Linked DNA regions of Mus musculus: all the other regions are reported to be linked to region 3. Evidence: microRNA targets listed by miRTarBase, many of them from high-throughput screens and not tested one by one. Region 3 holds a microRNA gene; each other region holds the end of a gene's coding sequence.

The links. The annotated mature microRNA mmu-miR-340-5p reads UUAUAAAGCAAUGAGACUGAUU and lies in region 3 at 2,780-2,801, shown strand. An mRNA with a match to its seed (bases 2 to 7 or 8) in the 3' UTR can be bound and repressed. Matches are read on the target gene's strand: a 7mer-m8 pairs with bases 2 to 8, a 7mer-A1 pairs with bases 2 to 7 and ends in A, and an 8mer does both.
Region 1: the mRNA of Ttc39b is a reported target of mmu-miR-340-5p. Seed matches in the 3' UTR shown: 7mer-A1 at 2,550-2,556 and 8mer at 3,166-3,173.
Region 2: miRTarBase lists Rnf141 as a target of mmu-miR-340-5p. The part of its 3' UTR that is shown has no 7-base or 8-base seed match.
Region 4: the mRNA of Nktr is a reported target of mmu-miR-340-5p. The part of its 3' UTR that is shown has no 7-base or 8-base seed match.
Region 5: miRTarBase lists Abhd17b as a target of mmu-miR-340-5p. Seed matches in the 3' UTR shown: 7mer-A1 at 1,317-1,323.
Region 6: miRTarBase lists Ube4b as a target of mmu-miR-340-5p. The part of its 3' UTR that is shown has no 7-base or 8-base seed match.

The regions. Positions count from the first base shown.
Region 1 is chr4:83,222,756-83,227,846 of GRCm38, reverse strand. It overlaps Ttc39b (tetratricopeptide repeat domain 39B), which reads left to right. Exons shown (of 20, transcript NM_027238.2): 20 at 623-5,091. The coding sequence ends at 713. Among named protein-coding and RNA genes, the nearest start is that of Gm46887, 39 kb to the right of the region's middle.
Region 2 is chr7:110,812,484-110,817,574 of GRCm38, forward strand. Rnf141 (ring finger protein 141) reads right to left here. Exons shown (of 6, transcript NM_025999.3): 6 at 4,052-4,367. The coding sequence ends at 4,217. Among named protein-coding and RNA genes, the nearest start is that of Rnf141, 29 kb to the right of the region's middle.
Region 3 is chr11:50,066,941-50,071,940 of GRCm38, forward strand. Mir340 (microRNA 340) reads left to right here and starts at 2,762; the gene lies at 2,762-2,859. It overlaps Rnf130 (ring finger protein 130), which reads left to right. Exons shown (of 9, transcript NM_021540.4): 3 at 4,231-4,481.
Region 4 is chr9:121,753,592-121,758,682 of GRCm38, reverse strand. Nktr (natural killer tumor recognition sequence) reads right to left here. Exons shown (of 17, transcript NM_010918.2): 17 at 1,842-4,438. The coding sequence ends at 4,351. E530011L22Rik (RIKEN cDNA E530011L22 gene) reads left to right here. Exons shown (of 1, transcript NR_033503.1): 1 at 1-2,043. Among named protein-coding and RNA genes, the nearest start is that of E530011L22Rik, 3.8 kb to the left of the region's middle.
Region 5 is chr19:21,683,330-21,688,420 of GRCm38, forward strand. It overlaps Abhd17b (abhydrolase domain containing 17B), which reads left to right. Exons shown (of 4, transcript NM_146096.3): 4 at 769-2,308. The coding sequence ends at 988. Among named protein-coding and RNA genes, the nearest start is that of Abhd17b, 33 kb to the left of the region's middle.
Region 6 is chr4:149,325,530-149,330,620 of GRCm38, forward strand. It overlaps Ube4b (ubiquitination factor E4B), which reads right to left. Exons shown (of 27, transcript NM_022022.3): 26 at 4,662-4,808; 27 at 2,887-4,208. The coding sequence ends at 4,147. Among named protein-coding and RNA genes, the nearest start is that of Ube4bos3, 6.6 kb to the right of the region's middle.

The DNA of each region.
Region 1 (5,091 bases), not on the chromosome of region 3:
GATTGACCCCAGAGGCTCTGTGTGCCAGGCGTGTTCTCTCCCACTGTGTTCCATTCCTCGCCTCTCACAGTGTACCACCCACCTTGCCTTCTTGACCCCTTCTGACACTGGTCTAATTGAGTCATTAGTGACAAAATCACTGAAAACTTACATGAGAACTGGAGTAAGTGGTTTTGGGGTCACGGGGAAATCCTGGTGTCTTTGTTGTGGGGTAACCGTGTGGGTTTCAAGGTATTTTTATTCTGTTGAATAGTGGATTGTTCATGATCATTGTGTTATATGACCCTGCCTTAATGTTTTCCTCTTTAAATATGGAAGTTGAGCCATGTAGCAGTATTTAGCCAATGTGCCATGCCTTCTTGACCATGCTATAGTTGTGGTCTGGCAATTAGAATGATTTACTCAACGGTATAACCTCTTAAATCATCACTGGGGAAGCCTCAGGAAAGCAAGAATGCAGACTCACTGTTCACTTTGCCCCACAGAAAGACGCTGCTCTTTACTCTGCTCCAGTAGAACATGTTAGAGTCAGATGTAAGGGGTCAGAGGGAGGCAGAGGAAGGGGGCGGCACCCCCCTAGAGAGGGTAAGTTCTGACTGTACAATTTTATCCTTGTCTTCAGAAATAACTATAAGGATTACTCCCTGGAGTCCAGGCTACACTTCAGAATTCAAGCAGCTCTTCATCTCTGGAAGAAACCTTCCACGGACTGATCCGGAACACACAGGATGGATCTTCCCCCCCGGTTAACATTGACTCTTGCTATGGAGATCACTCTCTGTGTCAAGGTGGACCCATGATCCATCAAATAAGAAACAGAAAGCCTGCTGTCAGCCACTTCCTGTCATCGGAGTGGCGTACTGTTTGGTCTACATACTTTCCCCTCTGGAATGACATTTAATACTATACAGAAATTCTTATACTCTGCCTTCACTGTAGATTTCAATTGAGGGGGTGAAGTCTTTTAAAAGACTGGCAGGTACAATAAAGCCTAGTTAGATTATTTATTTTTTTAATGTAAAAATTAATATTGTTCAAATAGCAAATGGCTTTATCAGCTGAGCCATTTTTAGATTGGCTTGTCCTTTAAACTTCAGAGATATTTTACTGCTGTTTAAATCTCTGAGAGTAAATAAATATCACATCTATAATAGTATGACAGTGGGTTTCTGAAGATTCTGGAAGAGAGAAATGAGGGGCCTGAGGTGGGTGAAGTATTCCTAGGCAGAAGGGACTTGTATCTCAGCAAGATGTCACAGTTGTAAGTTTCAGGATTTCCAGTCCTCTCATTGGTTGAAGGTGGTGGCATTTTTCAGAAACTATCCTGTATTTGAATGTACTCATATCAGATCCAATAATAGCATTCAATCACATAGACACATTTCTCATGTATCTAAGGGAATAAAAAGCTGTATTTTAGATCTCCCTAAGCTTAGTGCTGAAGCCTGAACTACAGACTTCCATTGTGTTTCTTACAGGAAGGAGAAGCTCCTGTTGCTGTGAGTGATATGTGACATGTCAGTGATTGTTTACAGTCATGATGCTGCTGACCCAGGGCCATGGCTGCATCTTGGTTCTCTGAGTAGGAACCCGGATCAGAGCCTGAGCAGATGCCCTTCTGGGGTCCCCACACCTGTCAATCACCCTTTGTGAATTAGAAAGAACACGCTCATTTCGAGAAACAGAAAAGGCACAGATGGCTTTAATTTCTCTTTGAATTGTGTAACTGTGAGTCTCTGTGTTAGACACTTTCAACAATGCTTAGCATTAATCCAAACTCTTCCCATTAGAATATAGTTTCTTCAACCCCTCGCTCTCCTCCCAATCAACGGCCTATCAATAGTGGGTGTTACAGCTGAGGGCCAGACTCCACCCAGTGACAAAAACCAGTTAGAGTCCATGGACCTGGGCTTTTGTCTTGTTTCTATTATTTCCAAGACCAGTAACTTCTCTAGAGGGTAGATGGCTCCACCTTCCCTCGTCAGCGCCCCAGGTTTGTAGTTCTGAGTCTTTCTCTGTTGGTTAATAGTTAACAACATAAAGCAAATAACTTACCTTTTCCAGGACTTGGGTTTTCCAGTGGGAGAGGCAAGGTAGCACTCACTGCCTGCAGCCTCCAGAGCTGGTGCATTTGGTAGCTTTCTGTATACTGGGGAAGCTGTACACGGAGGAGTGAGTTTGATAACTATGGCCTTGCACATGGATTACAATACCTCTAGTATCCGCTGAGTCTGTGGTCTCTTGTCTACAGTGAGATGAACGTGAGCATTCATGACCTTTCAGTTTATTTATTTATGCATTTAGCACTGACAGTGGCCCAGATTATGGAGTTGCTCCTGCTGTCCCCGACTGCAGTTCCCCATGCTCAGCAGGCACTGGTGGCCTGTTACGTAAGGTGCCATTTCTTATTCAACATTGATAACACGGAGGCAGAAATCATTATATCTCACTAATATGAATCACACAATTAGCTACAGATAGTAGGGAAATAAATTGTCATGAGCTATAGAAATATGTTTAATAATTATATATATATATATGAAGAAAAGTTTATAAATTCTTTAGAAGAGCTTTGATAACGATATTTTAAAAACAATCTATTCATACTATTAATGTGATGGGGTGTGGTGGCACACATTGTTAATTCTAGCATTTGGGAGGCAGGGGCAGGCAAATCTCTGAGTTCGAGGCCAGCCTGGTCTGTTTATTCAAAACTCAAACCAACCAAACAAAAAGAATACCCATATTTTGTGAGAAACTATCAAAGCTCATGGTCTGTAAATTCCCATTCTGATATTAAATGAAAAAAATTAAGCTAAAAATGACTGTTTTAGAGACTGGAGGGTGTCCCGGCAGTTAAGGGCACTTTCTGCTTTTCCATAGGACCAGAGTTTGTTTCCCAGCACCCATGGCAGGCAGTCCTTAACTGTCTGTAACTCCAGAAGAGCTGACACTCGCTCTGGCCTCTGTAGGCACCCAAACACACATGGCATGCATTCACATAGAAACATACATACATACACATTAAGTAGACAATAAATCATTTTTTAAATGACTACTTTTATACTATCAAACAAATCTACTTGTGCTATTTTATTTTGTGGTTTTCTTTTGTTTATATTGCTCAAATTCTCTCTGTCAGCACTGTGGACCATCTATCAGTGGCTTTATAAGTACTGCAATAGAATTAATACCACAGAACTTTATCTATTTTCTGTCATGTTCAAGATACTGTACCGGCACCAATTTCTTAGGATGTTTGTAAGAATCATCTTTTAAAATCTGTTGTGATTTAAGATGTTTTGTGAAGAGCAAGTGCCTAAGAGACAACGTTATCTAATCATCTTTTTGAGGCCACGGGTAATAGGCTGGGTTTCCAGTATGTCTGATTGCAGTTTCTGTAGCTACCTGCAGAGGCAGTGTTCTGATCGGTGTTTTGTAAATGTAAGGATTGTATTTCAGAGCCTTGGGAGGGAAAGCCTAATTTCCTTGGGAGAATTGATGGAAGGGTAACTACAGCAACTCCCGAGTATATTTGACCACTTGCTCTGTCTGCACATAGGAGATGTTCCCTATTTACACTGCAGACAGTTGAGTGGCCTTCTAGTTGTCCTGAGGACAGGAAGAGACAAGTGGGCAGGAGCTAAGGGAGATCAATTCAGATTCCTGGACACTGCAGCTGTTCGAGCAATCCAACAGCCCAACCAGCTCCTTGGGAATGGAGTGAATTCAGCAGTTCTGGTGACTGTCATCCCGCCCTGGTCTGAGTGTCTGTCTGGGTTAATTGAATTGGAGGTCAGCTCATTCTACAATGCTTTGATCGGGGTCTAAAATCTGAGGTAGGGAAAGGTAAAAAGCAGGTACCCTCTCTTCAAATAGAAGCGCATGTTCCTTGTCAATCATTCTACTGTGATGGGCACTAGTGTCATCTGCTATTGTGTTTGTTATGGGTCTGGCTGGCTCATCTGTCCTGTGCCATCTATTCTGGGTAGATCCTTGTTAGTAGAGACCCGCACCCTGGACAGTAAAAATAATGGAAAAAGTCTTTATGATCAAGTGGAAAACTAATCCTGGAATTATTCTGCTTAATTCTCTGGACATTTTGTTTTTCCTCTTCCTTTCTTTTCCTTTCCTTTCCTTTCCTTTCCTTTCCTTTCCTTTCCTTTCCTTTCCTTTCCTTTCCTTTCCTTTCCTTTTCTTTTCTTTTCCCACTGGTTTGCCAACTTTGTATTCCTGAATCACCAGTTCTGGTGCATTCAGTTGGAATTAGTTCATGAAGTAACTGAAATTCTAAGCATTTGTGATTTATCAGGTCTAGAATGGATCTTAGAAAACTACATTGTCCCTTTCAGCCTGTGAGCATGTTGGGCCTGCTGTTCTCTGTCTACTGCAATAGCAACTTGTCAGCTGTCGCTGCTCTACTCTTGCCGTGGCCAGGGGACCTCCCTCTTACACCATGTTGTGTCATACATCTCTCAGTGGTTTACTTTTTCCATCCCGTGTACTGGGCAGATGATAGAGCTCCGTGGCTTGTTTGAACATTGGCCTTTACCCACCTCTCACCCCTGTGAACTTCTTGTGTGCCATCTCAAAGTCTTTATTTTTAAGATTACTAGGTTATTTTAGAAACTATCTTCGATGTCACAGCTGTTGGGGTTGTAGAAATATTTGTAGATTTCATGAGTAAGACAATTTATGAAAAATCTAGTGACCCCTTTGCAAGACTTTGGCATTATGGAAATGCTAACATTGGTTCTCGTAGCTAGCCCATTATACTATTTAAAGGTTGTTAGGCACAATTTATTTCCCTTAGGGAGTAACATAAAAGGTGACTTAACTAAATTTAAATATTTCATGCCTTCCAGTTGCCTATTGTGAATATCTTGAGTGTGTGTGCCTAAGCGATATACATAATACAAGTTTTAATCTCTTTAAGCATCTCTTGATTAGATGCAGGGGTAGCTCTAATGTATCAATAGACCGGTATCAGTAAGTAATATAAAATAACCCATATTGGATAATCCTTCATGCCCTTTTAGGATGAAAGCATTTCTCCGAGTTACTTTCTTCCTCAGAGCCCAGTTGTCTACG
Region 2 (5,091 bases), not on the chromosome of region 3:
TTGCAAGCTACGGCTCAGGTGACCTCGTGGTCATCTAGCACCTCAGCCTAGCTTCTGCCAGTCCCACAGAGCATCAGCAAAGCCACATCTAGAGTGCTTTGCCTCGGATGATGTCTTAATCTGTTCACCAGGGTGCTTCTCAGACTGTTTCTCTATCACTTTGTTTAATGAAATCCTAGTGCTCACTGATCCTCGTGTGTGTGTGTTTGTGTGTGTGTGTATGTGTGTGTGTAAATCCCTCCTTTTGCCTGTTTTACAGTCGGAAGCCAAGGCAACTGTATATGGGCTCAGGTTTCCAGACAGTACTCTCTGGACAATTCCTAAGGGTGGATGTTTGCCTTATATCTTACTTAGCCTGTACTGCTGAAAGTCGGCACCATCTCTCCGCCTCGTGAATCCACACTTTAGTCTTGAATGAAAGCAGGTCTAAGGGTGTGCTTGGCTGGCTCTCTCAGTAGCTGCTGCCTGCTGAAGGGTGGGCTCACAACACAATTTCTCTGGTTCTTAAACACAGAGGGTGATGGCTTATGCACCTAAATGTTGTGTCTGCACCATGATTTGTCAGAATAACCGTCTCACCAGGAAAGGGGGCTCACACCACAGACCCACAGCCTCCGGCTCCTGAGCGATCATCTTTAAGGCGCATTCTGTAAAACAGAAGCTGATGAAGAGCTGAGACTACAGAGTGGGGATTTAGCAAAGTGTATCCGAAGGACTCTTATGCTTTGATAGTAATGCGGGTTTCTCCACAGTATGGTTGACGGGCACCAGCAAACCTGACTCGAAGCTGCCACCTCCCTCTGCTTCCTCTCTTCTGTTTCTCCAATGACATTCTTTTACACGGAAAGCACAGAACTGGCAGAGCTCAGTGTGGACCCTTTATTCTGTCTAACGGGTACTAGGAAAGAAAAGCTAACCAAAGTCACAGTAGCTGCTCACACTGCTGTTACGTTGCTTCTCATAAATGCAGGTGATGAGCCGACAGACAAAGTAGGCTTCAGTCGAGAACCCTCTCCCCAAAGCAAGGAAACTCCCAACACCTACGGATGCAAGTTATTCAGACTATCTTTTAATGAATCCAACTTCCCAGTGTTAAAAAATCAGGGAACCAAAAAAAGGTTTCCAAGCAGCCTTATTACCCAGTTGTATATTAATACAAGAAAATCACCTCAAAACAGCACACAAACAACACAACCCCCAGAGCACAATACAAAACAGTCCTCTAATAAATATAAATATTTAGTATATAAGAATGTGAAATTACATAAGCAAACGTTTTTAGTTAGCTAATGTTCACTTGCAAAGTTTACTTATTGCACATTGTATCAGTTTTTCCTAAGAATAAAACAGGCTTTGCTGTTGTCAGCCTTTACATCAATACATAGTCAAACTCTTTCTGAAACCCAACGTTTCCAGCATTTGAGCCAACCTGCTGTTACTGAGTGAGCACAGCACTAACATACAATTTACAACAATTCCCTAAAGCAGGAGGCAATTTGCACATCACTGAAGGCACACAATTTCCTACCATGGTAAATGTATTTATGTAGTTCTTATTTTATAAAGGCAAAGCTGTACAGAATAGAAAAAGTATACATTTTACTCATGAGACAAATTTATGATTAGATCCTATGGTGAACCCTACCTACTATTGACATCTGGAGTCACCACCCAGTTCAATGGAATGCATAGAGAACTCTGCTTACTACTTGATAAGGCAGTTGGAGACACTGACGCTTCACAGTAGACCAGTTAGTATCCCAGAGATCACACTTTAAATAAAGGGCAGTGGGCAAGATCAAGTCACTGGACTCACTTTCTATTCTTTCAAAAATGAAGGATTCTGGGGAATAGAGGTATTGGCTATTGCTGGAAATATCCCCAACCCCTAAAGCTATGTTATTAATTTCTGAAACACTTTAAGATTAGACAATTTGAATTAAACCCAGCAAGTCAAAATCCAAAAGGACAATTTTAGGGCTAGAAAGCATCTCAGAAGATCACTCATTCCAAGGCTTAGAGAATGTGTTCTATGGAGCACTTGAAAGTTGACAGAATATGACAGAATATGAATTTTAAAATGTTTTAAAGTTGTTTTGCTAGTGTGTCTCTCTGTGTGTAACATGCATGTGGGTGCCCTAGGTGGTCAGATGAGGGTGTTGGAGCCCTTGGAGAGATACAGGTGGTTGTAAACCACTAATGTGGGTGCTGGGGATTAAACTCTGGTCCTCTGCAAGAACAGTAAGTGCTCTTAACCACTGAGTTAGCTCTCTAGCCTAGCCATCCCAATTGTTTTTGAAACAGCATTTCAATGTAGCCCAGGCTATCCTTGAACTCACTCTGTGATGGAGGATGACCTGGGCCTTCTGGTCTTCCTGCTTCCTCCTCTCAAGTGCTGGGGTAGGAGGGGTGCACCAGCATCACTGTTTTTACGCAGTGCTGGGATGGAACCCAGGCTTTATATATATTAGGTAAGCACTCTACCAACTGAGTTACACCTCTAGCCCTGAATTGTTATTATTTTTACAAAACAGAGGTTTTTTCATTTACAAATTCTAATGTAACTGTATCACCAATACATTTTCACATTTTCATATACTGACTTAAACTCGATCACACTAAGGTTTGTGTAAGGAAACTTGTATTAATAATATGTAGCTTCTCTATAACGGGGTAGCATGTGTGTGTGTGCACTCAGTGTGAATAGGCTCTCAGAACTTACTTGAAATGCTAATGTTTGAAAACCACAAATACAATCTGAGTTTCTCAATAAGAACCTACAACAGAGTAAGACTTTCTCGGGGTTGTGAAACCATCTCAGCTAAGGTATGACAGACAACAGCACTGTGCTTGCCCGCATGCTCGGCAGACTGCTTAGCCATTTGGTGTCACTGCCCTGTCCTTACAGTGAATGGACTATTGATGTCTTCAGTATTTGGGGGCAGAATCAAGTCAGACCTTTTTTTCCCCCGAGAGGGATTTTATTTGAATATTCATTAAAATCTGAATCAAGTCAGATCTTTTTCTTTGAAAGGGATTTTATTTAAATATTCATTAAAATCTGAATCAAAAATCAATAAGCAGTAACTTCAATTGTGTACATCTATACTTAGGAAAACAGGGACAGTTGAAACTTGCCAAAAATCTGTGAGAAGACTTCTATGGAACGCTAACATTTCTTACAGGGGACTTATTTCATGCACTAGCACTTTTATAGGCTGCACTGTTAGCATTAACGTTCTTCCTCCATAAGCCACTGTGGCTGTCACTGAGGCCGCACTCCTGTCACGGTTCTCTCTCTAGATGCCTGAATAGTGCAGAGAAATGGGAAGAAAGCCAATCAAGGTCTGGAGTTTAGGGTTTTACAACTGCTTGGTGAGGAGGTTTACCTGATCGTCCTCTTCTTTTAATCTGAGAAATTTGAGGAAACCGAAGCCTCAGAAAGGCGTCTTTACCTAAAATAAACGCTGTCTGGCTCAGGACTGGATGCCTCTGTGGAATCTGGAAATATAAAATGTGTGTTTCTATAAAAGAAAAAAATCCTTCTGAAAACTCAAGCTTCATGGGCATTATGAAAAAATCCAACGGGCACCTATCCAGGTCCGGGGATGCCTTTCTAAAGCAGCCATGAAGATCCCTCCGGTACAGTCCATTTTCGAGACAAAGTTCCAACCAGACAGTCCTAATCCGTGTGCTGCATCATGGCAACATAAAGAATAAGTAGTTCCAGAACCCAAGGCCAAAAGTGACATAACATCAGGAAGCAATTGGGCCACAGTACTGAAGGATCCATAATGAACCACAAGGGGGCAGAGCACACACACCTCAGGTTCCAACTGAGACATTAGTTTCAGTCATTTATCTCAGATGGCTACAACTGTCAACACTCTAAAACTTAAACCTACTAAAAAGATGCCAGAACAGTCCCTCCCTCCCTGAAAAGCAGTAGTGTCAAGTATTGCTGCTATCTGTAGCAAAGGGCTCAAGAGCAACATAGAATAGGTGGACTGTGGGAAATATGGCTAAACAGTAGCAAACTGTAGCCCACCATACATGGAAGACATGGGAGTTTATTTAAGAACGGGACATACCAGAATAGCAAAAATAAGAGGGTGGGAAAACTGATATTTCTGTGTGTGCCACAATATCCCCCCCTTCTCCTCTACGACAACAGTGTATTTGTAGTTCAGAATAACAACAGAAAGTCTTCCCCAAGTCATGGCCTGTGGGGCTGGCCTGCCTCATCAGCCATGTTAAGAATATAGTTAGCCATGTCATCTTCAGTGGGTGCATCTGACACCACCCATGATTCATTTGCTCCAGTCATCTGTAGGCGACAAATGGGGCAGTTCCTGTGTCGATCACTCCTGTCAGGGAAGTCCAAGCAAAACAAGTTTTTCCTTTTTTTCTTTTTCTAAAAAATCAGGTTTTTTGAAAAGTACATGGCTTTAAAAATGCAAACAACATAGAAATGTGCAATGAAAAATTAATCTTTCTCTTCACTCCAACCTTTAATTCTCTCTTCCAGGATCAACTGGTTGCCTACGTATTTCACCAGGAATGACTGAAGTTGTCAATGTGTGGGAAACGAGCAAGTGAGTACGTTCTCGCTGACCTTGTACCCACGTCTTAGAAACCACTGTGTACCAGTGTATGTAAGCGTAGTCTTTCTTTTCTCTTCTCGGTGGCTTGCCATCCTCCTGCTCCAGCCTGCTCAGGGCTGGGACTGTGGCATGCTCCCATACACCTGCTGCAGAGTATCTAACTCATCTCTGGTAGAAAGATACCTAGTTCCTTCACCTTGTTTGCTACCACCAGCTAAAATCTTCAGTTCTTACTTCTGCACCCAAATAAGTTTTCCTCAATAAGAATTCCTTATGTGTCCTAAGGGAAGCTCCCTCTCACCAGTGGGAGAGTTAGGGTAAAATGTGCAACGTTTAAACATTTATTTTTAATTTAAGTGGAAACCACTGCACATTTAGCAGAAAGGTATTACTAATTATTATTCTGAGTAATTAAGGTCATTTTTTAAAGGTAGGGTCTCTAAGCAGCCCATAGAACTTGCTATATAGACCAGGCTGGCTTTGAACT
Region 3 (5,000 bases):
CTGTGTTACAGTGGGCTAGGATGTAGTGATAAGGTTTGTTGGTCATGTTATTAACATGGGGGTTTTGATTGGTGGACCTTTATAGCCTCAGGAATGAGTCTACATGAGAAAATGTCCAAATGAGGGAATAGGCCTTTATGCCTAGCTTTAGGGATATAATCTGTGGTTTACAGGAGAGAGGGAGGGAAAAGGCAAGGCCTGGCAGTGCCATGGGCATGCTAGAGCCCTTCAGAAAACTAATGAGACAAGACAACCAGGTACAGGGTCCATAGCCCTTGGTTGAATTGTTAGGCTGAGTCAGAATAGCTGAATACGAAGTATATTAAACACTAAATACATTTTATCAGAAGTAAAAGTTTAATATAATTAATAAATTGTGTGCATCTGAAGTAACCTTGTTCTTAGGAGAACTGTTGAATTATTAAAGATTGAAATGTCCTATTGGTTACAATCTGCTCTCAGTTGGTCCAGCAAAAAAAAAAAAAAAAAAAATTCGTGTAGAAAGGCAGAAGTGTTTCCTGTTTGCAAATCTAAACAAAGATTATCTGAAAGCTCCCATACTATGGAAACTGTTCCATTTGAAAATTCCTAAAATACTGGGGCTGGGGAGATAGCTCAGCAGTTAAGAGCATTGGCTACTCTTCCTGAAGACCAGAGTTCAATTCCCAGCACCCACATGGTAGCTCCCAACTGTCTATAACTCCAGTTCCAGGCACTCTCACACACGAACGTCTGTATATGCAGGCATAATACCAATACACATAGAATAAAAATAAGTAAATTATGAAGAAAAAAAGAAAAGAAAATTCTCAGAATAAAAAGGGAAGAATTACAGGGAAGAATTGCAAATTTAAGTAGCCATGCTAAGTTACTAAAACAACATAAATTCCTATTAAAGAATAAATTGGCAGGCTAGCAAGATGGTCCAGTAGTTGTGAGTGCTTACTGTTCTCTCAAAGAGTTCGGTTCTCAGAACTCATATGGGACAGTTCACAGTCACCTGTAACACCAGTTCCAGGGAGTCAGTGACAGGTAGATACACACGCATATACATATAAACATGAGGTTAAGTAATAACTTTTTGTTGTTGTTGTTTTTCAAGACACGGTTTCTCTGTGTGGCCCTGACTGTCCTGGAACTCGCTCTATAGACCAGGCTAGCCTCCAACTCACAGAGATCTACCTGCCTCTGCCTCCAGAGTGCTGGGATTATAATAATACTCATAATATTCTTTATTTCACTGCCATCTCTAAGAATTAATACTAGCTATGGTGGTGTGAGTGAGAAAATCTTCCATAGGTGCCCGTATTTGAACACTTGGTCTCAGGTGCATGGTATCATTTGGGGATGTGTTGGAGGTGTGGCCTTGTTGGAAGAGGAGTGTATTAGTAGAGTCCAGCTTTGAAAGTTTAAAGATTCCCAAAATTTACTGCTGTTCTCTCAGCTTAGTGCTTATGGTTCAAGATGTGAGACTGGAGAGATGACTCAGAGGTTTCCAGGGCATTCTTCTGCTCATGGAGAGAACCTGAGTTCAATTCCCAGCACCCACAACAGGTCTCTCACAACTGCCCGTATCCCCCCTTCCAGGGGGTCTGTGACTCCTGGTCTCCACAGGCAACTATAACTTGCATGCACAAAGCTACACACATAAACACATAATTGAAATTAACAGTGTTTTTAAAAAGGTGTGAGTTCTTGGCATCCAGTTCCTACCTACAGTTTGCTGCCATTCTTCCCCACCATGATGGAACTATAAGCCAAACAAGCCCCTCCTTGTATACGTTATGTTGGCTATGATGTTTAACCACAGCAGTAGAAAAGGAACACATAGCTGCATGATTGTTGAACTCCAAAGCCATGTCTTGGTGTTTCAGAACACAGGCATAGGGGTGATCTGGTCACATTCTTTGTATCTGTTTAATGTTTCCATTACTTCAGTCTAATTAACCCCTCTCTCCTACCAGCTACTGCTACTCTAATCCTAGTTTTATCCTGAGGGTTAAGTTTCCTCTGTTGTCATCATCCCTCCTGAATCTGCACCAACTCTCCCAAGAGTTTTTTGTTTTGTTTTTAAGGTTTATTTACTTTTTTATTGTGTGTGTGTGTGTGTGTGTGTGTGTGTGTATACCTGCATGAGTCTATGTGCACCATGTGTACAGAGCCCTCGAAGGCCAGAAGAGAGTGTCTGTTCCCTCTAGAATTGGAGTTACAGTAGTTATGAGCTGCCATATTGATGCTGGGAACCAAACCTCGTCCTCTGCAAGATCAACCAGTGCTCTTAGCCATCTCTTTAGTCCCATCCCCATTTGTAAATGTCTGAGCCATCTTGTTAGGCTCTTTGAACCCAGCCCAGCTCTAGATGTTGGGGAGAAAGAAACTTTTTTCCTAGGAGGGTTTGTAGTTTGCTTCATCACCTTCTGTAAGAGATCACTGCCTTCACTAATATCAGATGTGCTGCTGTACTTTTTTATTTGATCATTTTCAGTCTCCTTTGGCAACATTGCCCAGTCTCCTCTTTTTGCTAGGATGATAAAGCTACAGTGAGATCTATTCACTCTTGTCCTCCTAACAGTGAATATTGACAAGTGTTGAACTAATTAAATTTTTCTTTCCCAAACAGCTTCCTGTTGAGATTAGTTGACGCGCCCATTTAGTGTTCGGTTAAGGAAATTACTGGATTGGTTGCCTTGGCTACCTGTGCAGCTCTCCCCACTTCCAGCTTGAGTCTTCAAGAGGGAGCCTCAGAACTGATTTCTAAAACCAATTGTACTTGGTGTGATTATAAAGCAATGAGACTGATTGTCATATGTCGTTTGTGGGATCCGTCTCAGTTACTTTATAGCCATACCTGGTATCTTAACACCACAGATCATGCCTGTTGATCAACATTGTAAAAGCACAAACTTAAGGTTTCTAAATGGAAATTTAAACTGGTTTAGCATTCTTTTATGATTCTTTTTAACTCACTCACCAGAGGCAGATGTTAACTTAATAATGCTAGTTTTAATTTTGTTGTCTCCTTTTTGTTTATAGATTTTTTAAGCAAAAATAAACTGGTAAACTACTACTCTAATAAAGTGAATAAACCGTTTTGAATACAGTATTATGCAAATATATATTCCATTGAGCTATATTTTTTTCAAAACTTCTGTTACTGAGTTTCTGTTGTGTCTCATCTTGACTGCTAAAGGTAACAAGAAATCAAAACAAGTGTTTCTAATATTTGTTGACAGAGCCTTCAAAAGGTCAGGTCTGGGGTCTCTGCTTGCTGTTTTGAGAGGGTATTTTGTGTTTGGATGCACAATCCTCCTTCATACTCACAAAAGTGACCTTGGTGAGTAGCTGCTCACTCTGACTTAAAACAGGCCCTTGAAGCCATGTGAGAAAAGGACTTGAAAACACAACTGAACCATCCTTGTAATTAACTTATAAAAGTTGTGCCTGTGGGCAGAACTCTGAACAGCTTTTAGGAACTGAAGGTTTTAGGTATCATTATGGGTAGTAGTCCAGAAAGTTGAAACTTGGGCCTGCCTAGAGGATTTGAGTGCGCTGGGCATGGTTAAACAAGGTGGAAAACTAACATAAAACTCAAGTCTGAGGCTAGCCGAGGCAATGTGAGATGCTGGCTCCAAACTGGGTGGGAAAATTGTTGCGTTTGAGCTCCAGAAGTGCCCTGGAAGGAGCTTTACTGTAGACAGAAGACCAAAGTTAGTTTCAAAGGTTGTTGGTAAAAGATGTTGCCGTTCGGCACTTGTCACTCCATAGCCAAGTGTGTGCCCTAAGAAGTACCCTTCTTTCTGTTTCTTAGAGCAGTCCTTGCTCAGCAGTGCGTGTGAGGATGAGTAGTGCAAGGACCACCTGTTCAGACTGTAAATGACAGTGCTTCTCTGTCAGAACTTTCCAGATTGATTGCTATAGAAAGGTTTTCTACTGAAGACTTAACCTGATTTAGTCACAGGTGGCTGCTTTCACAGTGCTTCTAATGCACCGGTAAGGCAGTTTGTGCATTGTTAACACCACAGTTGCTTTATGCGTTACCTGTTTGGAGCACTGTACATGTTCTCATGCCTGTCAGTTTACACAGCTGCAGCCTCATGTCAGTTGAACTGGAATCTATAAACCTTAGTGAAAATTATGGTAATTTCTCTATGGAGCATATGTGTATATTTATTTGATGTGTCTATGAATTTCAGATGTCACTTTAGTCTGTGTATTTGTTTTACATTACAGGCACGGGAGATATTATTGCTGTCATGATAACAGAATTGAGGGGTAAGGATATTTTGAGTTATCTGGAGAAAAACATCTCTGTACAAATGACAATAGCTGTTGGAACTCGAATGCCGCCAAAGAACTTCAGCCGTGGCTCTCTAGTCTTCGTGTCAATCTCCTTTATTGTTTTGATGATTATTTCTTCAGCGTGGCTCATATTCTACTTCATTCAGAAGATCAGGTACACAAATGCTCGGGACAGGAACCAGGTGAGCTAACCAGTACTCTAGCCAGCCGTAATCCATGAGGATCTTGTGATAATACTTGTTTATGTCATATATTTAAAAACAAGACCAACAACAACAAGATAAAAACATGCCAAGTATGGTGCTGTACCCTGTAATACCTGCACTCGGGGTTTTGAGGCCAGTTGGACTACGCAGGCGTTCCAGGCCATATTCTATCTCAGTTTTAAAAAGAAAAAGAAATGAAAGAAAATGTTGTTCTACATAATCACACTGTAACTATCAAAGTCAGTAAATGAATGTCCTTTCAGTACATTTCCTGACCTATCGGCTCTCTCAGGTTCTCCAGAACTGCTTAGAAGTATCCTTAAGGGCAACAAAAACCCCAGATTAGTTAGGCCAGAATGTGTGTTACATTTAGTTGTGCTGTCTCTTTACTGCTTCCTGATACTGGCATCTCAGAAGAGCACAGGTCTGTGTCCTGTGTCTTGTGGTTTCGGTCAAGGTTGTTTGCATTTTGTCAGCATCACCAGCTCCTTTTAG
Region 4 (5,091 bases), not on the chromosome of region 3:
TGGCTAAGGTAAAGGAGTGACACCCCTACCCCACCCCCTGCTGTCTCATTTGGGTTCTCTGAACTCCGACTGAGGGCAAGAGGGCACACTGGGCTTGTCACTGGCAACAGCTGCAAAAGCCAGAAGCCCCGTTGTGTTCATGGCTGCAGAACTGAGTGGTCTGGACATGGGGTACAGCCAACTGGAGGGACAAGATGGGAGCAGAGGAAGGATTCTAGGCCACAACCTCAAGTTCTGTTGGTTGGTTTAGGGGCCAGAGCACTCATTACCATGATAGAGGTGGGTGCTTTAGACCCCTAAAGCTGAGTGACTCCAGGCCAAACTTCACTTTGGAGAACAAGGAGACAACCCCAGACTGCTTGGGGTTCCTGCACTTGGCTGGGGAAACTACGCTCACCAGGTAACAGAAATGCAAGTTAGGCAGTCCAAAAAGTGGGTGGTGCAGGCTGGAAGGGGAGGGTGTACAGTACGTGGCCTCCATCTCCCTCAGTTTTGGCTGCTGAGTCCAGCACTAATGGGCCACAGCTGCACAAGGGTGGGAGCCTAATGCAAACCAGCAGGTTCCCTTTCCCACACCAAGTCCAGGGCCTTACAGGAGAGCCTCCCTGTTAACTTCCAAAAGGCTCCCAGAGACCCTAGTCCTCCACAACCTTGGGCCGTGGTACTTCTTGCGGAAGCCCCCATCCCTTTAACTCAGATGTGACCAGCAGCAGTGTCAAGGCCTACGTCCATCACTGCTGTGCAGAGACCATCGGGTCCTACATGTCTGCCCAGTAGTGGGGGTTCTAGAGGTCTTCTGAGCCCTAAGTGTTTCCAGACATAGTCTTCAGGGAGGCAGACTCCTCTTAAAGTTAGGGCAGAGACAATGGTCCTCAGAATCTGCATGTGGGCAGCAGGGATCAGGGTTAGGGCTCAGTGGACATAGGTGTAGTTCTGGCCCTTTTAAAACCCACATTCTGCCTTGGTATCTCCCAGGTGCCTCAGCCTCAGGAGTTTGGTCTTACTGCTTGTATGAGGTTTGGTATTGAAGAAGACAACACCGGGCTGCTGTAAACCACAGGGAGGAAGCAGCTATGGCAAGAGGCCCAGGCCTCAGAATGCAGCCTGTGCTGTGGTGTACTGATTCCTGAATGCAGAGCTCTAACTCCTCCCTCGAGGTGCCCGAGAGACTACAGCAACCAGTAATCTGTCTCAGCTAGACATTCTGACCTGTCTTTTTAACAAGTTATGGGTATTTTGCCTGTGCCACCACGCCCGGCTTTTAATTAATTAATTAATTAATATTTTTTTTTTTTTTTTTTTTTTTTTGGTTTTTCGAGACAGGGTTTCTCTGTATAGCCCTGGCTGTCCTGCCACCACACCACAAGAGTAAAGAGTCTTACTATGCAGTTCTGTCTGGCCTTGAACTCAAGAGATCCACCCTCTTCTGCTGGGGTTAAAGATGTGCACTACCCTACCACACCTGGCATTTTCTTTAAATAAAAAATAAAACACCCACATTCGACAATTTTCAGTTTCCCAAGTTGGGGAAACACTGTTTAGCAAACCCAGTTCTCTGCAAACAAGCTAGCAGGTTCACTCTGCTTAGCCAGCAGGTCCTCACCTGTATGTTCAAATGTCACATGGTCTGTCTTAGGAGGTGAGTGATGATGGGTGCCACAGTCAGATGACTTGCAGAGGACAGCGGGAGGAGACCTGGAGTTGCATCCCACCAGAGGGTATGTTTCTGCCAGGCTCTCCCAGGTCACTCCTGCACCCCAGTAACCTGCCAATGGACAAGTCTCTTCGCTTGGCTGTATCAGAAACTGACTGGAGTTTGAGCAAAGAAAGACCAAGCAGGCAGGCTCAAACTCAGCATGTATTTTCATTTCTACAAGATCCTTTTCAAGTTGTAGAGAAATTTCATAGAAGTATATACAAATTAGACATTGCTAGTATGTACAAAAGTATTTTCTACATTTTTGAACAATATCAACTATGCCACTTGCAGTAAACAGGATGTTACAAAATCATCCAATAAAGAAAGCATTTTCTATTAAGCACATTACACAACATAATTCAATTTTATTAAAAAAATAACTTCAAAATACAGAATGATCGTGGATAAGAAGAAAAGCCATTTCTGTATTCAGTCGAGTATAAACAGCAAGGTTGACATTACTGAACATGAGTGCCTGCTGGTACAGGTTAAGCCCTGTCCATGCAGCAGTAGGTGGTAGGTGGATGCCCTTCCTCTTGCTATGCTAATCCCCAGAACCCGACAATGTCTGTAATTCCTCTGGCCACGGGACTTCGAGTAGAGATTTATCTCTGGAGTCTGATCTACTTACATGGACCCTTAAAGCAGGAGGAGGGCAGAGGTTTTGAAAAAAAGACAAGACTCAAAGGGTCCCTGCTGGTTGAAGCTGGCAAGGCCTACAGCAGGCGATGTGGGCATCCACCGAGGGCTCTAGAGGGGCCCAGCTACAAGTCACGTCTTCCCAGAGTCTTCTGAGAAATGAGCTCTTCCAGACCTTACCTTGAGACCCTGAGCAGATGAGTCAACCCTACCATTGCCTGTTTGTCAATGACACATAGGCACTCTTAGGCTGAGAAATTTGGGATAACTTGTTACACAGCAACCAAATAAGAATATATGGCCCAATAGTGACCTTTTCTTACTAATTACATTTGCCAGTTTATTTGGGCTCTGAATGCATTCTTCCTACTGAATACTAGATTCAAACACCCTTCTTTGTAGGCAACTTTAAAGGGGGGGGGGGTAGAAGGACCCACTCACTATAAACCACATGTCTAACCCGCCAAGCACTGAGTTCCGATGTTATCCTTCTAATTAACTAATTTACAGACATGGTGAACAATAGCTGGCTGGCCACCAAAATGCTGCTTACATACATCACAGAGTAACACCATTATTTATTTGTGGGGTGCTGACCTCTGATCCCAGAGCTACTTACATGCTAAGCACATGCTATATATCACTGAGCCACATGGCCCTGGAAGACTACTTTCATATATCCAGTACTTCCCCTCCATCTGGCCAGGGCTTTAGTAATTTCCTCCAGCCCAAGGCCTTTACTCTTCCCAAATGCACTAGCAAGGCCTGGGTGGGATAGGAGAGTACAGACTTCTACACCATATACCTGACAGGAAGTCTGTGAACTGGATTTAACCGGCACTAAGGTGATTAAGTACACTTGGGGAAAGAATGCAAACTAAAGAGTAAAACAAAACAAAGAAACAAACCCACACTAGTTTTTACAGGTTAGATTCTTCCTGGAGGAGCCACACAAAGCCGTAAGAACCCCTTTCTGTGCAGCAGAGCCTGTGACCCTGCTGCCCCCAACTTTTGTCCTGGGTTTCCTCCATCAGGCAGGGCTTCATGGAGTCAGGGGGCAGCGTGGGGGTGGGGGTGGGGGGTGTCTCGACACAAACAGGGAATAGGATGGTTGGGGCAGGGCTGCTACTATTGCCACAGTGAGAGTGAAGCTTGGCTGGAGTGTCTGTGGAGCTGCTTCTGAAGGACATTCTTCAGCTGGCACTTTAGCACACATGTGCAGAACAAGATGACCAGCCATACAGGTTCTGTTCCAAGGGACCTCCACCACATATCTGTGTTTGGAAGAAGCCCCTACACTCACAGTGAACCCAGCTCAGAAGAAATTATTTTTGGTGCCAGTGAATTTAAAAAAAAAAAATCACAATTCATTTTCTGGCATCAGGAAATGCAGTATGTGACAATATGACATAGGGTATACGAGGAACCAAAGGCACCAAGCACCAAAGCAGGAGCTGGGGTGGCTGGGCTGGCATTCCCTGTGAAGTGTGGGTGCTCACAGCTGGGACACAGAGGAATGAGCTACCACCCTGCACACCTGGCCATGGTCAATATGGATGTGGACAGCCTCATCTGACAGCACACACCAAGACGACAACCAGCATGGGGACATGGGGACATGGAGAACACGTGTCTTGTGACAGCTCTCCATAATTGTGTTTGGCAGCATGGATGCTAAAACCTGAAACAAAAAGAAACCTGAATTCTACAGACAATGTGATCTACAGAAAACCCTATCTACAGTGACACTGCAAATTATACTTACATCAAATTTACCATTTCTTGATTCAAGAAAATGAAAATTCCATAGTTGCCTACTGTAAAATGGGTCATAGAAATATTTCTAGGGACATCTGCACTTTAAATTCTTTTGCGCACATGTAAATAAGTGACAAGAAATATCCACTATAGGATTGAGGTCTAATACTAAAACACAACAGACTGCCATCCAGTTTCTTAAGCTTTAAGTTACCAGGTATTTACACTTAAGACACAATCTGTACAGAGACATCTCAGCTGTATCTGCTGCTCTCGCTGGGACTCCGGTGATGAGAGTAACTTCTGTCACTTTCACTGTCTGAGCCATAGGATCTACCACTCCTGTATAAGAGAACAAAACAACGCCATCAACTCCCATTTTCTGTTCTAACTATTGCAACACTATGGGTTTTTCGAGGATGTTTTAAATGGTAGTAAAATCAAGGTTAAGATAGCAATAAAGAAACCTTTTAAGAGTGGGAAATTTACTTGAAATCCATTCATAAAAATGAGCAAACTATTTTTCTACTATATCCAGTAAATGTCAATGCTAGACTAGACTGAAGCAGGAAGGGGTTAAAGGGACAGAGTCTCACTAAAGTGGGTGTAGGCTTGGTTATGGTGGTCTTTAAGCTCATTTAAAAAGCTTTTCTGAGAGCGAGGCAACTTGTCATGGTAAGTGTCGTCCATCCCACCACAAGTACACCTAGAACAAGGGCTCAAGGGCAGCTCCAGACAGTGGACAGGCAAGTTTGTTCACTGAAACCCCCAGGGTTCTAGGGTTAGTGTGATGGAGATGGGGTATTCCCTGGGCAATGGGCTGCAGTGAAGAATATGAGACGTGGGGGCTGAGGGGTGGGAGGTGACTGATCACTTCAGGACACAAAGACTAGTGACAGAGCTGTCACTTGGATTTCTGAGCAGAAGGGAAGCTCTAGAACACTGGAGGAGAGAAGTCAGAGAGAGCTGAAGCTGGAGCTAGCAGGTGGAGGGGC
Region 5 (5,091 bases), not on the chromosome of region 3:
ATTTTCAGAACCCAAACAGACCTCACTGAGCCAGCCTGTTGTGTGCTGTGTGACTGTAGTACCTTTCACGTAAACTGGAGTCCTACATCTACAGACCTAGAGTTGAAGAAAGTTACTCAGCTTTTCCAGGAAGTCTGAGAAAGAAGGACCTTACTGTGTTGTAAACAGAGTTTGAAGGATTCCATCATGTTTCAGCCCCCACCTTCATCTCCGTGGCAATGTCTTGGCCAGAGCTAGGGTATTCCATTGTAGCCTGGAGGCTGCTTCACTTTACCTTCTAGTTGATTGGCATTGTGTTTTTACCTGTCTTACTAATATAATAGCTATTTCATAGACTCATCCGATTTGTAGCTTCAAACTATTTTTTATGTTTTCCTCTCTGTTTTTAACCTTAAACCAGAACAAACCCAAAGGATTTTGCTTGAGTTTTAATAACTGATAGAATAAAATAAGTGCAGTAGGGAATGAAGTTAGCCCAGGCAGGCATGGTCCTTGGGTTAAGAAGCCTAGGGGAAATTCAGCATCGAGGCAGCGCTTCCATGTAAGGGTGGCAGTGTCCAAGCAGAGCAACTGTGCAGAGGTAACTTCCTGCAGCACCGTAGAGGTCATGGAAAGGATGGACGGCCTTTGGATCTTACTGAAGTTGACTTCCATCCCTAAAGCTGAGTTACTGTACAGTTCTAATGTTTGAATTTTCTGTTCTAACACAGGAAACTTCCTTTTTTCTACAGTTCATTGAGCTTTTTTCCTTTCTCTTATTCTCTCTAGCATTGACAAAATCTCTAAGATAACCTCTCCAGTATTAATAATTCACGGGACTGAAGATGAAGTCATTGACTTTTCCCATGGCCTCGCATTGTTTGAGCGCTGCCAAAGACCTGTGGAGCCCCTGTGGGTTGAAGGGGCAGGACACAATGACGTGGAGCTTTATGGACAATACCTTGAGAGGTTAAAACAGTTCGTGTCACAGGAACTGGTAAATTTGTAAACTACTCTGTAAATTTGCAGACTGGGTTTTCTTTTCTTGCTGAACTGCACTCCTTGGTAAATAACATAAAACCTGAAGGTTTTGTTTACAAATCATGTAAGTTGCCTTCATAACTGTACAGGTAATGATTTGTTAACAGACTTAATGAAGGTTTTAATTACCATAACTTGAAACTGGAAATAGCAGTATCATGCAGTCAGGCTGTGTAATTTATATTTTTTCTGTGAATTTTTTTTAAACATCAAGATGAGTACTGTATGAAATTTTAATTCTATAAAATCAAATGCTGTAAAAGTATTGTCAAATGCTTTTGCATATCAAAAGCAAATTTATAAATATTTTTAAACATCTCAATGTACTAAATATCCTGGTATACAAATGTAATATTCTTTCAAAAAGCTGTATATCTAAAGCAATTCAAGTACTCAGAATAAACTGTAAAAAACAAAACGGTTTGAAAACATCCAAATTGAGTTGATATATACTCCACTGTACAGGGATAGAGGCTTAAATGGTTATTTTATTGTTAAAAAAAATGCATTGACTTTTCTGTATTCTCCAATTATAGTACATTTATCCTTTAAAAAAATGAAGTCTTAATTTTTATGCCATCTGTTAACTTAGCAGCTCTTCATCCTGTCACTGAGAAGTCCTGATGGCGCTGGATTTTAACTAGTTCTGACTTATGTTTGGTACTGTGAGACAACTACTTAACATTTTCATTCAGTTATTTAAAGGACAGTTAGGGCTTCAAGAATGATTTTGTATGCAATGTTGTTTTAAATTTGACTAATTATTAGAACTGTAGTAGTCTTCCTTATATGAATACTTGAAACTCCGTTAGTTGATCTTCAAGACCACAGAGAGACTGGCTGTTTGGTTCCTTTCCACCTCTGCTGTTTTTAAGAGTAGGGCCTGTTCTTTTGGAGTAGTATCTGAGAATGTCATGGGTTCCCTCCTGAATGCAGGGGATAAGAAAACATGCCATACATTTTATATTAACCAGTATAGTAAAAAAAATAAAATAAATAAATAAAGCTCACACACAAAAACTAAGTTGCCTTTCCTTGAATGAATCCTGCCTGAAAAATGAAAGAAAAATAAAAAATAAACTAATGGTATATAGTCTTAATTTGTAATGAATGAGAATCAAAATAATACACACTGTGGATATGTTTTTAAGGCCTTATGTAATTTTAATTGTTCTGCTTGTTCTGTGGTTATGTCTAAGATTATAGTACACGATCTTCAAAGTATATCAAATATTGTGAATCCTTTGGTTCAGCTATGTCAAATTCACAGTAAAACAACAAATGTACCACTCGGCTGTGCTTGTGTGCCTTCTTCTGAACTCCTCACCCCCACAGAAAGAGGAAAAGTCACAACACCTTCCTGAAGTTTTCTGTATCTTTAAAATTTTGTTTTAACATTCTAAGTATACATTTAAGAAGGTTGCTTTGATATTTCCACATATGTGAATGGCTGTAGCCTTCTGTTTTCCACCACCTTCCAGGTCTCTTAACAGTAAGAATCCTGCATTGGTTTGGTTTGGTTTGGTTTGGTTTGGTTTGTTGGGTGATTGGCTGGTTTGATTTTTTTGAGACAGGGTCTCACTATGTAGGCCTGGCTATCCTGAAACTTGCTATTTGGAACAGGCTGACCTTGAATTCACAGAGGTGTGCCTGGCTCTGCCTCCCGAGTGCTGGGGTCGAAGGTGTACACCACCACACTCGTCTTCAGTATTCTACTTATAGATCAACTGTTTTAGATTCTGTGTGGAAAAGAAAACATCATGCTTATCATTCTATACCTGGCTTATTTACTTAACATAATCATCTTTAATTTCATTCATCTTATTGCATATGGCAGGATTTCATTCCTTAAAGTAATGCTCTGTTGTGGTTGTGTGACACATTTCACTTGTTCACTAATCTGCTTGTTACCATACTAATTATTTAATTGGCCAGAGCCTGGGCTCTGACATTTTCAAGAAGCCAATTAAACAGTAGTAAAAAGTAAGTCAAAAACAGAGGTCCACAGAGCCCTCTTTCCAGGTCCATCTTTGGAGTCCTGACATTAGGTTTAAGTAGAGGGCGAGGATATGCATAGCTAAATAGTGCCCGTTAAAGAGTAGTCCAGCCCACCACTGTCTCAGCTCCTGTCTCTCTAACTGTGGCCAGAGGTAAGGTCAGAGCTTGTTCCCTAGCAGCCCTAACAAGCCAGGCTTGGCATACATCTTTAATAAGCCCATTAAAAGATCCAGATTAACAGTGAAAAGCAGAGGCAGGTGGTGGTGGCACACGCCTTTAATCCCTACACTTAGAAGGCAGAGGCATGTGGATCTCTGAGTTTGAGGCCAGTCTGGTCTAAAAAAATATACTTTCAAGGACAGCCAGGGTACACAGAAACCCTGTCTCAAAAAAACAAAAACAGACAAAACAGTAAAAAGCAAATTTACTCAGTGTGGTCATACATCTGATTTTTACTATTGTTTCCTGTGTTTAGGGTCCTATCCAAATAGCCATTGCGGTTACCAGTTTCTCAACTATTTCATTTTTATTTTCCCTGGAGTTTGAGAGTGTCAGCTCTTTGATTTAGGCCCTTGATCCACCTTGAGTCTGTTTTGCATAGAATAGAAGAGAGGAGCCTCTTGCCATCCAGCTTCCTGGTACTGTTTATTGAAGAGGCTGCCCTTTCTCCTGGGCATGTTTGTGGTGCTTTTGGTGAGAATGAGCTCGCTGTGAGGTGTGTGTGTGTGTGTGTGTGTGTGTGTGTGTGTGTGTGTGTGTGTGTGTGTTTCTGTCTGTCTCCATTGATAGAGGGGCTGCTTTAGGCTGATAGCATGTCAGGTTTGGTTGGTAGTGCTCTGACACACCTTGCTTTGGTCATTTTGCCCAAGATCGCTATTTGGAGGCTTTTGTGCTTCCATGTGAACTTCAGCATTGTTTTTTCTAGTTCTTAGTTCTGTGAAGAATAACAATACTGATATTTTGATGGGGGTTGTGTCCAAATAGAGATCACTTTAAGAAACGTGGACTTTTTTAAACAATGTTGAGTCAGTGACTATGGAAGGTATTTGCATTTTACTTTCTGTGTCTAATATTTCTTATCAGTGTTCTGTAATTATTACAGAGGGCTTCTTTGCTTAAGTTTTATGTCATTTTCTTTTGTTATAGTTGTTGTAAGACTGCTTTCATTATTTTAGCAGATTTCTTTTTGTTATTATTTTATCTTTTCTTGTTTTTCAAGACAGGGTTTCTCTGTGTAGTCCTGGCTGTCCTGGAACTCACTCTGTAGACCAGGCTGGCCTCGAACTCACAGATCTGCCTGCTTCTGCCTTTCTAGGGCTGGGACTAAAGGCATTAGCTGATTTTTGTACTGATATATAGAAAAGCTATTAATTTTGTATCCTACAATATTGAATTTGTTCTTTATAGAGTCTTAGGTTTTTCTAAATACTGCATCATCTGCACAATGGAATAATTTTATTTCCTTCCTATTTGTATGCTTTTTGTGTTCCTGTGTGGTTTGTCTAATCAGATCTCTTTGTGAGGAGGAACTGTGTCCATGGATGCCTCTTGTTGCTGTTGATTCTGCTCTCAGCTTTTCCCCACTCACTGTGACCCTGACTCTGGCTTTGTCATATGTACTTGTTAGGTTAAGGTGGCTTTTCTGAGTTTGTTTAGGGTTTTTAGCACAAAGCATCGTTGCACTTTATCAGATCCTTTTTTGCATGTTGAGATGATCATACGCTCTTTAATCCTTCATTCTGTTAGGTGATTGGCACGCTCATATCTCTAGGACTAAGCCAACCTAACATGGTTTTTAAAAATACGATGTTGAATTCAATTTACTACCATTGTGGGGTTTGACAACAAAATTTAAATTCTCTTAGTTTTAGAAACCAAATGTCCAAAGGCAGGATGTTGTGAGAGGCCCTTCATTGGCTTGCAGATATCAATGTTTCCTTTCATAACCCCTCACTGTCCCACCTCTGTGTGTGTACATCACTGGTTGTCTTATTCTTTGGGCAAGATTTCTGCATCTCTGTTCATGAGGAATATTGATAGTTTCTTTGTGTGTTGTGTCCCTGTGTGGTGCCA
Region 6 (5,091 bases), not on the chromosome of region 3:
GAAAGGGCTAGAGCTCTGGCAGCACATGCTCCTCTTACAGAGAACCTTGGTGCCATATCCAATACCCAGCTCACAAACACCGTAATTCCAGTTCCAGGGCACCCAACGCCCTCTTCTGACTCATATGTGCACTGCACACATGTGGTGCAGGCAGTACCCATATATATAAAATAAAAGCAGATGCATCTTTTAAAAAAACTTAGACCATGCCTAGGTCACACCAAAGGCACAACTGAAACAGCTGGCAACTCACCGTTCAATGTGCCAAGTGCAAAGCAAACCGCGTAAGACACTCATGGTTCAAAGGCTGTTCTAAAGGCCAGGGATGTTGCCTAGTTGGATGTCAAGTGCCGGCCTAGCATGTACGTGTCCTGAGTTGGACCTTCAGCACTGCCTAGACAGACAGAGAAGAGGCACTGTGCCCAATCCCTGTCATTACCCATTCAGCAGTGACTCAGAAAATGAGCATGATGTCATTCTCGTTCCTTTCTCAAGGACTTTCCTTCTGCTGAGAACATACAAGTTCTCCTTTTCGGACAATTTTTAAAAATCTGTTCATTTTATGTATATGAGTAAGGTGTTGCTGACACATTACAAAAGGGCATCGGATCCCATTATAGATGGTTGTGAGCCATCATGAGTTGAACTCAGGACCTCTGGAAGAGCAGCCAGTGCTCTTAACCACTGAGCCATCTCTTCAGTCCGACAATCTTCCTTCTAAACCAGACTTATTTTTGAAATATTCTGGATCCCATCACCTCTAATTAGCAGGCTGGAGGCAAACAATAAATTTCCACGAAACAGCTACTCTAAGAATCAAAGAAAAATTCAAACCACGCCCCTAGAGGCAAAGAGATTGGCTGCATCCTTGCCCCACCCTCTTTCCATAAGTCCACTCTTGAAACCCTTCAATTCTGAAAATCCCACGGGAAGCAGCAGCTGTCCACTGACGGGACAGAAACAGCACCTCTTAGGGATGGAGAGATTAGCAACCCACAATTGTGAAACCAGTAAGCGTTAGGCATGCTTCTAATTAATTAACATCATTAACTTCATAGGCTTGTGGGTAAAACGCTTGTAAAAAGTAAACTGACCAGAATCACCTCAATGGTGGAATCGTCAGTAATTTCCTTTTTGTGTCTTGTCATGATCATGATGATGATCATCTTTAAGATACGGGGATTAATCCCAGCAGTCAGAAGGGAGAGGCACCAGGTCTCTGTGAGTTCGAGGCCAGCCTGGTCTACAGAGCTAGTTTGAGGACAGCTAGAGCTACATAGAGAAACCCTATCTTCAAACAATCAATCCTGGGGATTGCCCCAGAGCTTCCTGCATGCTAGGCAGATGTTCCTACCAACTGAGCTACATCCTAGCCCAGATTGTGTACTTGGGGCTGAGGTGGCAGGGGATGGTGAGCTCAATGTGTTCAAGAAAAGAACTCATGGGCTGGAGAGATGGCTCAGCACTGACTGCTCTTCTGGAGGCCCTGAGTTCAAATCCCAGCTACCACATGGTGGCTCACAACCATCCGTAATGAGATCTGATGCTCTCTTCTGGAATGTCTGAAGACAGCTACAGTGTACTTACATATAATAAATAAATAAATCTTAAAAAAAAAGAAAGAAAGGAAGGAAGAAAGAAAAGAACTCATAAGGAAATGGACCTCACGGGCCTGAGAGCCATGTACTTGCCAGGAGACAATGGGCAAGCTACCGAATCTCTCTGCAGCCCGCAGCCTGACCTCCTGAAGACCATGGCAGCAAAACCAAGCAGAAACACAGCAGTACTGTCTCTCCTGAGGTTGGCACTATAAAGATGAGGCTTTTGCACAGCCTGGCACACAGAAGTGGCACCTAAGTGCTTCCCATAGCTGAGCTGGCATTATTAGCGCCTGTGCTGGTAGAAATCACTTTGCAAACTGGAGTGGTAATGAAGTGGGTGGGACCTGAGTAGGAGTCATGGCCACTTGAGATCTCCAAGGTAACATCAAGAGCCAGGCAGAGAGCAGAGGACACAGCGGAGTCCCTTCACGCCAGAAGTGAAGCGAGAACAGCGTGGCACATCAGGGATGTGGACGACGGGGATGAGAAAGCTTTAAATTCACACATCTGCTTACTTACCATACATATGATGCCAGTGTGCTACAGCCTGTGTAGCGGACGGAGGATAACTTGTCTGTGCTCTCCTTCCAAGAGGAATGAGCGCAGCAAGCCCCTTTATCCCCTGAACCGTCTCAATGGCCCGCTGTGCTTTATTTTAAAGGAAGGCTATTTCTAATTGGCTCCAGAAAGAACATTTCTTCAGACACCTGCTCTTGTTGGACCTTCGTCCTTTATGTGTATAAATGCTTTGTGTATATGCACGTGCATCATTTGTGTGCCCAGTGTCATGGGAGACAGATGTCTAGGCCCCTGGATCTGGACTTCCAGGCAGTTGCAAGCTATGGGTGTTGGGAACTAAACCGGGGTCCCTCTCTGCTCTTGTAACTATCTCTTTGGCCCTGTTTTATCTATCTATCTATCATCTATCTATCTATCTATCTATCTATCTATCTATCTATCTATCTATCTATCTATCTATCTATCTATCTATCTATCTATCCATTCATCCATCCATCCACATACACATATATATACATGTGTGTGTATATATATGTTTATATATACACACACACATATATACATATTTATACATATATATTACATTATAAAGACAGGATCCTGTTATGTGTGCCAGGTTGACCTGGAACTCTCTATGTAGACCAGGCCGACCTCAAACTCAGAGATCCATCTGCCTCTTCTTGAGAGTTCTGGGGTTAAGGGTGTGCGCCACCATGCCAGCCTTCCCCACCCATTTCTTTCAACAAAAAGACGACTCACAGGAGGCTCCTTCCGAATGGGCATCACCGTTTATTGTCGATTGTGTTGGGAACTGAACAGAGCACAGGCTGTGGAGCAGAGGAGAAAGGAAAAGAGGAGGAAGTCTGTTTCTGAAGAGTTCATTTCTTTAAAACACTTTATGGTTTCAAATCCTTTCTCACCCCAAAGGGAACTCAAGAATTCAAGTATGTTGCGTAGGGAGCGGTAATACAGAGAGGGCTTCTGCTCGCGTGCGCCTAGGTGGTGTTGTCGGGCCATGTAAACAAGCAGACAGATTTCCACATTTCTTGCACCCTTTTTTTTTTTTGTTTTTTTTGTTTTTTGTTTCTTTGCTTTGGTAAGGTCAAACCCCAAAAGGACACAGCATATAAAAGAACCCCGGGCTGAGGAACTTATCCTCAGAGGGTAACCGCATAGTTGGAATTGTCACATAGGATTAAAACAAAACAACAAAACAACAAAAAACCAAACACACCCCTCACCTCCCCCGAGCCCCACGAGTCACAGGAGTCCTGATCCACTCCAGCCAGCTGCTGCTGCACCTGTCCCTCAGGATCTTAACTGAGGGTTGCTAGAAGGACCAGGCTCACAGGGTTCTCTTCATTTTGTTTATAATAAAAAAATTTAAAAGGGCTATTTCAAAAGAAAAAAAAACTGAAATTCAAATTCTGAAAATATCTTGCCTTTTTTATTAATCATGTCATCTAACACCAATTAAAAAAACAAGTATGTGAATATGATATAAAAATACGATCCCAAGATTAACACTTGTCGCAGGCACAAGTTATCGCACAGAATACATGTTTGGAGGGCCGGGAAAGGAGTCTGGTTCTGTTTCTCTTTAAAAAACCCACAGCAGTGCAAGTAGGGTGAGGGAGGGGAGATTGTTTAGCAGCAAAATGTCCGAGTTCTCTATTCACATCGAAAAAACAAAACAAAACAAAACGTAAGCTCAGGGGAAGCTGCCCAGACCCACTTGTCACTAAACACTTCCGCTGCCACAGCCCCAGGTAGCGACAGGCGAAGGGTGCGCTTTACTACACAAGCCATCGTAAACTCGTCCCTCAAGCTTTGACTGTTGTCACTTAAATATATGTACAGGAATCCTCTTCTCGTCATCCCCTCAGATCTCCACTGTTTGGTCACACGGGTGGGCTCTCAGGATCTGGCCACATCTGGTTACAGGCTGGAGCTGCAGCCTCGAGGCAGATGCTGCTGCGGCCTGGCTGGCTGGCGTGGCGGCTTCCAGCGGAGGAGCGATGGGGCCTCAGTGGTCACTGCTCTGTTTCTCTCTCATCCAGGCCTGAATCTGCTCCTTTAGCTCTGGCACTGAGGGAGAAAGCACAGGGGATGAATGACCCGGATGACAGGCTCTTCCACTGCAGTTCTATCTGCGTGGACACAGAGTCCACGGTGCTCACTCCCTGTGGGCGCTGAAGACTGCAGAAGGAACAGCCATGGACAGGGAAACATTTACAGCCAAAGTGAGCGGAGTGCTCTGTGGCTTTTGGGTACTTTCTGGATCCAATGTCCCTTTTCCTGGTGGTGGTGCTGGGGACTGAGCCTGGGAATGTACACAGTTGGGCAAGGGCTCTGTGCAGGCCCAGCCATCTTTTCCTTTTTGTTTGAGACAGTGTTGTAATTACACTGTCGGAACTTACTTGCCATGAACAGGCTCTCCCCTTCTGCTTCATCCACCCCGGTAGCTGGGACTACAGGCCTCGCGGCACCGGCCAGCTCTCAGTCTCCCGCACGGTCTGGCTGCACTCACTGGCCTCCTACCTGGCTCCAGCATGCTCTCAGTCAGCATCTGGCGGTTGAAGGGGTCGGTGGGGGAGTTGAGCAGATGCCGCAGGATGATAGAACGGTCCATGACGGTGCCAGAGGGCAGTCTCACGGGATCGGTCATCAGGGTGTCCATCAGAGGGTCTGTGGAGACAGAGCAGAACACACTAACCCTCAAGAACAAAAGCAGATGGTTCCTACCAGCGAGACAGTCTCAGGGAGAGCTGTGGAGCGAGCAGCCCCTCAAGCCCCTCAGTAAAGGAAGGCAGCAAATGATGAAGGCCTTGCCCTGCCTTCTGTCACTGCTGCTGGGAGGAGAAAAGAGCAAAGAGGACAGCCAGGCAGCAGGCCCAGGGCAGAACCCTTTGCCTTAGAATCCAGACTCCTTCCTGATAGTGGCAGAGCTGCCTTTAAAGTCTTCCTGGGT